Linked DNA regions of Daphnia pulex. The protein of the gene in region 2 purifies or fractionates together with the protein of the main gene of each other region. This does not show direct contact. Links are inferred from orthologs where the notes say so. Each region holds a gene or a part of one and is shown on either strand. Other genes may lie near its edges.

Evidence for each region.
Region 1: the proteins of programmed cell death protein 10-like (region 2) and sarcolemmal membrane-associated protein-like purify together in Homo sapiens (affinity purification with mass spectrometry; 3 studies listed by BioGRID and IntAct, counting the BioPlex papers as one, with this or other methods). This does not show direct contact. The link is inferred for Daphnia pulex from reciprocal best matches to the Homo sapiens genes PDCD10 and SLMAP.

Annotation. Positions count from the first base shown.
Region 1 is NC_060020.1:2,412,374-2,416,467, forward strand, and holds the end of sarcolemmal membrane-associated protein-like, read right to left. Parts: intron 4,036-4,094; coding exon of another isoform or gene 3,970-4,035; intron 3,755-3,969; coding exon 3,274-3,754; intron 3,206-3,273; coding exon 2,980-3,205; intron 2,904-2,979; coding exon 2,766-2,903; intron 2,586-2,765; coding exon of another isoform or gene 2,508-2,585; exon of another isoform or gene 1,817-2,507; coding exon 1,715-1,816; 3' UTR 615-1,714; downstream 1-614. UniProt on the Homo sapiens protein: Associates with the striatin-interacting phosphatase and kinase (STRIPAK) core complex, forming the extended (SIKE1:SLMAP)STRIPAK complex.
Region 2 is NC_060025.1:9,340,689-9,344,079, forward strand, and holds programmed cell death protein 10-like, read right to left. Parts: upstream 2,114-3,391; 5' UTR 1,774-2,113; coding exon 1,753-1,773; coding exon of another isoform or gene 1,749-1,752; intron 1,688-1,748; coding exon 1,361-1,687; intron 1,303-1,360; coding exon 961-1,302; 3' UTR 602-960; downstream 1-601. Other genes in the region: group XIIA secretory phospholipase A2-like, read left to right, coding at 2,311-2,554, 2,623-2,690, 2,755-2,926, 2,988-3,100. UniProt on the Homo sapiens protein: Promotes cell proliferation. Modulates apoptotic pathways. Increases mitogen-activated protein kinase activity and STK26 activity. Important for cell migration, and for normal structure and assembly of the Golgi complex.

The sequences.
Region 1 (4,094 bases), on a different chromosome or scaffold from region 2:
TGTTCCCCGCGTTCTCCTCTCTCCTCCGCCGGAACGGTCGATCCTTATATAGACGCGTCGAGGGAAAAAATCTCTTTTTGCCCGCGCTCGATGTTCAAATAGGTGAAAAAAGTACTTACACTCAACACGCTCAACGACGCACCACACACACACACACACACAGAACCAACGGCAACAGCATAGCCGAGCGCACGGCGGGATTTCATTTCCAGCCGTGCACGATTGTCCAGCTGGCTCTCGGCTGGTCATCATTCCACATCAAGTTTGACCAAAAAGGAAGGCAAAGAAAATCTTGGATCGTAACAAAAAACGATGAATAATAAAATAACGGAATTTCATACGAATCGTGCTGTGCGCTATACTCTTCAGTGTCGAGTGGAAAGTTACGAAAACGTCGGGGATATAACCGCAACTCGCTTTCGCTGCCACCTTGAACTACAACACGAAGAAACAGCATATCATCTATACTTACTTGCATGAGAGAAGAAAATGTACATAAAAGTCGTTCCGATCCGCTTCACGAAAACAGAACCGATACGATTGTCTTCAGATAATCTTTCGGTTCCGCAGCGCGATGAGCATCAATACTCGGTCATAGATCCAGACCAAGAAAGAAAAAAACAAAGTATTGTATTGTCTTGTTAGTTTCTTTTCATTTTCTCTTCTTTCTTTTTTTTTTTGTTGCTGATGTTTAATGGGGCGAGTTAAATAACAGGACACGGGGCAGGGGCAGGTGGGATAGTAAAGAGAGAAAATGGGGAGTGTGTACAATATCCGTAGAAGAGGACTAGACTACAAAACATAGAACATGTTTGTTGTTGGTTGAAATTTTTCATAAACTCCTTAAGATCCGAGGCCTCCCAGCGATGGTTATCCATCTCGCCGGACGGTTATCCGCCAAAGACCTTAAGGAGGAAACGTGACACAAAACTGGGGAGCAGAACGAGTAAATCAATGACCCATCAAATCAATATTATGTGATCCACTCTTACTCTTTCAAGTCGAAGACGCGCGAAGCTGAAAATAATGTCGTTGGCTGGTGAGAAAAATATTAAACTTTCCCTCACACACAAGAGAAAGATGTCGACGATAATGAGCTGGTGGATAGACAGAGGTAGGACGGACAGCAAAAGAAAAAAAAAAAAAGGAAGAAAAATCATTGAGGGGAGCCTATTATTGCACGCCAACTATGCCGTAAAACTAAGCATTTGAAAAACAAAGAGGAACAACATTCTTCGGAGGGGTGTGTGTTTTGTGTGACAGTAGAAAATCATGGAGAGAGAGAGAGATAGCAAAGGAAAAAATAACTCTGCACAGGTCCTGTTAGAAGGTGGAGGAAAGAGGATTCGACTCTCCCCCTCCCCACCGACGTTGTACGTTTTACATACACACACAGAAAGGAGACTAAGCCATTTTCTGTAGCGTTGACGGAAAACACACACTAGTTAATGACATCACTCTTTTGTCATATTGATGGCACTTGGTAAAATTAAAAAGCTGCTGTCGCTAGCAAATATGTTTCAAAAGAAAACACGAAAAAAGGGATATTATCTGCATATCCCGCCATTTGCGTAGATAGAAGTAATTGAAAAAAAAAAAGCTTACAATCGGTAGAAGAACAGGAAAAAAACAATTGATGATGATGATGATGTTTTTGTTGTTGCTGTTATTGTCTCTCTCCTTATTTTTCTTCCGTGTTGTCCGGCAAAATCTCTCAGGGCTCGAATGTAGCCGTCAGCCGCGAGAAGAAGCGGTAGAAGGCCAGGAAGAACGAGATGAACAATACGAGCAAGGGCATGAGACACAACGCCGTCGCCTACAGAAAACGCGCAGACAAACACGAAAAAAAAACAAGAGGCACAGCAAAAAAAAAAACAAAAAAAAACAAACAAACAGAGAAAAAGAGAAAGGAAAATAATCGATGGATCAGCTTTTTTTTGTTCTCTAATGTCCACCGTTAGCATAAATTTCTTACGTCAATGCGGTGTTAGTTTAAGACGAGAAAAAAAAATGAAAGTTAAAGAATAAAGTAAATCGAAGCAAACATACAGAGCGAAAAATGTTTTGTTGTTTTTGTTTGCGTTGTTTTTTGGCCACGGATATTGAACTAACAAAAACAATAAATTCATCTCTAAAATAAATTTTGAAGGCACATAAACACAAGTCGACGAACGAGAGAAAAGAAAGCCAATAATAAGAAGGTAACAAATACAGCTGAAGAAAAAAAATGTGAGAAAACAGAACCTAAGCGAGAGAGAAAAGGAGAATCCAAAATCAAGCAGACTATCGAAGAATTCAAATAGCTTCTTATTTGTTTTGTGTTCAAATCCTTTTCTTATTCCCTCTTCGTTCAGTTTCACGTGAGGAAAAAACAAGAGTTGACGGACTCTCAGCTGACAAAAAGAATATGTCTTTTAGAAGGCACACACATTTAGTTTTCTAAAGGAAGACAAAGGATGAAATAGAATTGGTGCTTCCCCTTTTCTGTCTTTTAATTTATCGTTATTTCAATCCGATGGCCTGAAAGCTATGAGGACCGCCAAGACAAGGACGGCCAACGGGACTACATACATCCAGCGGCCAACCTAGAAAATGCATTCGGCATTCAAAAGAAAAGAAAAATAAAGAGAACAGAAAAGAAAAAAGAAGAATGGATGGATAGAATTATCAACGAACCAAAGAATAATGAAGAAAACTTACAAATTAAAATTGTGCATAAAACAGTGAAAGAAGATTTGGAAGAAACGGAGACTGACTGGACTTACCGTTTTTGACTGAGAAGATAGTAACGAGTAGTTGTCCTTTAACTGGGAGAATTCTTCTTCTAGCTCCTTCTTTTCCGTTTGTACATTATCGTAGTGGCGCCGTAAAGCTTCGAGTTCGTTTCGTACCTCAGACAATTGCTTAAAATAACAAAAACAAAAAAACATAAATTAAAAACTGTGCCTCAAGAAATTTTCAAATAAAATTTCGTTTTACCTGCATGGTAACATATTCTTCCGAATTAGCATCTTCTCCGGAATTAAGTTCCCGGATGCCAGAATCTCTCATTTCAGGATCACGGGAACTCGGTGGATTACTGATTGGACTGCTAAATCCGCTAACCACTCCACTGTCCCGATTCTCTACGCTGAGAGCTAGCGACTGGTAGGCTTGTTGCCATTTCTGGCGTTCCTCAATTTGCTCTATCCTCGACACTTCCATCCTAAAAATAAATAAATAAAAAAGGTTAAATAGAAAATTAATTATGGATAGAAAATGTTTTCTTGTTACTCTTTCAACTGGATGGTGAGGATAGCAACTTCGTCCCTGAGATATTCCAATTCTGAGGTTGAGCCTCTATGAGCGGTGGTTTCACTGACACGATTGGCTTTCTCTTCCTTTTCGTAATTACTTAGTCGTACTGAAATATCGTTGTTGCAAATGAAGTATTTGGCATAAAAAAGTGATAAAAAAACTCCTTGCTTACAGGTCAATAGCGAAATAAGATCCTTATTCTTCGCATTAGCTTCTCGAAGTTCTTGGTACTCATTATTGAGTGAAACGATACTGGAACGGACGAGCTCAGCGAGCTCAGATGGTTCATCAGCGGATTCCTCTTCCTGCTCAGATGAGCCTTTGAGAACGTTGTGCAGGTTTCTAAAGTATTGCTGTAGATGTGCGGCTGTAGACCAACCATCTTGTGCCTCTAGCTGCCGTCTCTCCACTTCTGACTCAAGTACACGGCACTTGGCGCGCGTTTCTTCCAAAAGCTCTGCACCAATCCAAACAAAGGAATAACTTAGCCATCATCCATTTTCGTAGCGAACAGCTAATGTAAAGCTCGACGCGATCAATTTAGCAGAGTAGAAAAAAGAGACAGCAAATGTTCCATGTCAGCCAAAGAAAGAGAAAAAAACAAAATGGGCAAGCAGCAAAAAACGCAATGAAAAGCTGGAGTAGAGCCAAGAAAGAGTTAGTACAATTCACCTTGTAAAATTAAACTACAACATGCCAACTGATTGCGGTAAAGATAACAATCCCACGTGCATGAACCTACACACATCAATTAACAAAAAAACGTCAAGTATCCGAACAAGTCGGAAGCGATGATT
Region 2 (3,391 bases):
TACTGATAATTTGCAGTGTAATCTAGAATTTACACTACGAGCTTTCTTTCTTGCTATGACGTCATTTTCTTGGTTTACTTAAACAACTTTAAACAATCATTGCTATCGTAATCCTCCGGAACTTGTTCGAGTAGATTTCTTCTCTACTTTTTGTTTTTGTTTTAAATGGCTTATTATTGAGACTTGCCAAACCGCTCCCAGTTTACAGCGTACTTTTTGTTATTGGAAGAAACTTTCTTCGTTTTTTTTTCCTTATTACATTTTACTTTTCAAGTTTTATTTTATTTCTGGCTGTATACTCTTCGTGCAGTTATCCCTTCGTTTATGATATTGCTCTCAAAAGCTACACATGCTTCCTTTTGCTAGTAAAACTGTTTAACAGATTGCTCTAACCAATGAAAACATTTGAAATTCGAAGGTGTTTCTTCAGAAGCTCAAAAGAGAAAAGATTAGAACATTTGAATTGGTCTGTATTATTCAAATAAAATCTCAACATTTATGTTAGACTGCGAAGATATACTGTGTATTCTATACTTTTTAACTATATATATAACACGAAACCACCGCATATATATAAACAGGCTTATAATTACTGCTTATAGAAAGTTCAACAATGTTTATTCTCTGGAATGTTAGGTCGGGCTAGGATAACATGCAACGGATTTCATCATTAGGAGCGGTCTAGGAGGTGGCGAGCAATAAGGATTTTGTGGATGATAAGATAACGAGAGAGAGAAAAAAAAATGGGGTGAAGAGATGCAGACAACCCCCTCAAGGGTACTCACACCTGATCTGAAAATGGACGGTGTAAAACGATGAAAGAACGGATTAAGTTGTGTTTTTATTTTTTGAAATATAAATATTCACGACTGTGTGTGAAGCACCACTTAAACCGCTACCGAATTGCGACGTCTCCGAGCATCGACCTTCACCGCAGCTTGAAAGATTTTTTAACAAAACTTATTCACAACAATCTTTAACGGTTGTAATAATGAAATTGGATTGCTGTATCAAGCAGAGGGCACTCAGGAAGACAGCATTTGCTTGTCCATCGCGGAAGTATTCTTTCAACGTCGTGCTGAACCGTTTAGAATACTTGACGAATTCTCGTTTTCGCTGTTCCAGGCGCTGTTTTCCCGAGCCGAATATTATGTAGACGGCCACTTCATTAACTGCGTCAAGCAGTTTCTTTATGGCACTTGCAATTTCTTTAATAGTCTCCAGAAAGGCTTTGCGGTCTCCAATCTCATCAGGGATTCTACTCAGGATCTTCTTCAAACCAACTGACTTCTTACACAGTTCCTGTTCAGTAAGGGGCTATCATGAGTATTTGAAATTGTGATATTTAAAGCGGAGCTACCTGAAAGGCATCTTCAGAGCGGTTAATTCTGTAATCAGGTGATTCTTGATCCAAGGCTGCTCCTTGAACTCTTAAAAGACTCTCATTCATGTTGACTTTTTGTGACAATTCTGCCTTTTTCATCAGTCCCAAAATGAAACTGTGGCAGAGGCCTGGATGGGCAGATTCGGCATTACTAAAGGCAGCTTTCAGCAGTTGGGCAGCACCTGGATCTTGTTTCTCCAAGTTTACCAGAGATGGGCCCACCAAAATAGGCAACACTAAAGAAGACAACATGCTTTCTTCTCCCATAGTCATCTTTGTAGAAGCTTCTGCCACTTTAATTACCTATTTAAAACAGATAATTAGTTGAGATACAGTTTGCGACTTTAAGCCTTAAAAAAGTCACATGCATTTGATAAATGCTTTAGCATGATGTTGGAATAAGAATAAGTGTCACTAGAAGTTAAATTCCATAGGGATATCGCGTAATTTCTTGAAAAATTGCACACACAACTACAACTAGCTTGTCTAGAGAAAGTAAATACGAGTGTGTTGATCGACTAGATCGAATGAGTTCAATCAAAGTAAGCCACTAGACAAGTGTTTGTACTAAACAAGGTAAGAAAACCTTGGAAAAGGAAACAGAGATATCCAGTGTAGTAATTTCACAGTTGGATCTAAGATAAACAAAACATATCACTTACAAATAAATAAGCAAAAGGAATAACGCTCAACCATCTGATCTGACGTACGTAGTTCTGTTACTTCATTTCAAAAGGCAACCTTGTTTGAAATGAGGAAACACAATGAATATATTCTTTATTGATTATTAATTTTTATAACTTAATGATTTTGACGTTTAAATTGAATTTTAAAATATTATTTGATTTCTTATATTTTTGGTGAAATAAATTTTTTGTTTAATTTTTTTACAGTCGTACTGGCAACGCTTATCGCTCTAGTTCAAAATGTCATCATTTCCAAGAGCAAGAGTTATCAGAATTCTTTTAGTATTCGTGACCATTTCTGCTTTATTTGTCGACGGACAAAAAAGTTATTTTGATGAAATCAAAAATGCAATGCACAACCTTAAAAGTTTTTTGCATACTGGGCTTGATGGGCTTGCTAAGTTGGCCAAAACGATTCAAGTAGTAGAACAGTTTGTTGACGCAACTATCGATGAAGATTGTGAGCCATACACGTGTCCAAAAGGTTAATTTACATAAAAAAACAAATTTGCTTGGATTAAAATATCTTCTTGATGCTGTTTCTTGTTGAAGGATTTATCAGAAAAGCAAATCCTTTGCACATACCGGAAAGTAATGGATGTGGATCATTTGGATATACGGTAAATGAAGAAATCCTTGTGTGTGCTGGTTCTATTTAATCTCTTGTGCTAATAATATCATCAGTGGAAAGAAGAGAAACTGCCTTTAAAAGAGTTAGAAGAATGCTGTCACACCCACGATTATTGCTATGATGACTGTGGAGCCGATAAAGATTTGTGTGACTTGCATTTTAAAAAGTGCCTCTACAAAGTATGTTCAAATCATGAAGAAGAATTATCATTGCTGTTCATGAAAGGTAATAATGTAATTTTTTTTTTTTTTCTAAAAATGTTAGTAAATGTCCTTTTTCTGTTCAGCCTGCAAAGGGACTGCAAAGTTAATGTACACAGGAACATTAGCTTTAGGATGCCAGGCTTATCGAGAAGCACAGAATAAGGCCTGTCAGTGCTATGCAAGAGATGAATTCTGAAAAAAAAATTTTGTGATGATATGCTTAACTATTAAATCCATTGTAAAAAAATCCTCCATTTCTAATCAAAATTAGAAATAATTGAATTAAATAATAAAGTGTTAGTTTTAGGTTTTACAAAATTTGACTAATTTCTTCCATTCTAAATTTCATTTTCTAGATATTTTGGTCGTGTTTGATGCATTATCTCTTCAAATTCCTTTATTTCTTCAGTTTCCTTTTCGAACCAAAGAGGTCGCCGTTAGTTAAGTGTAAGGAGTAAAACAGAATCCCTTCAAGTAATCCACCCAA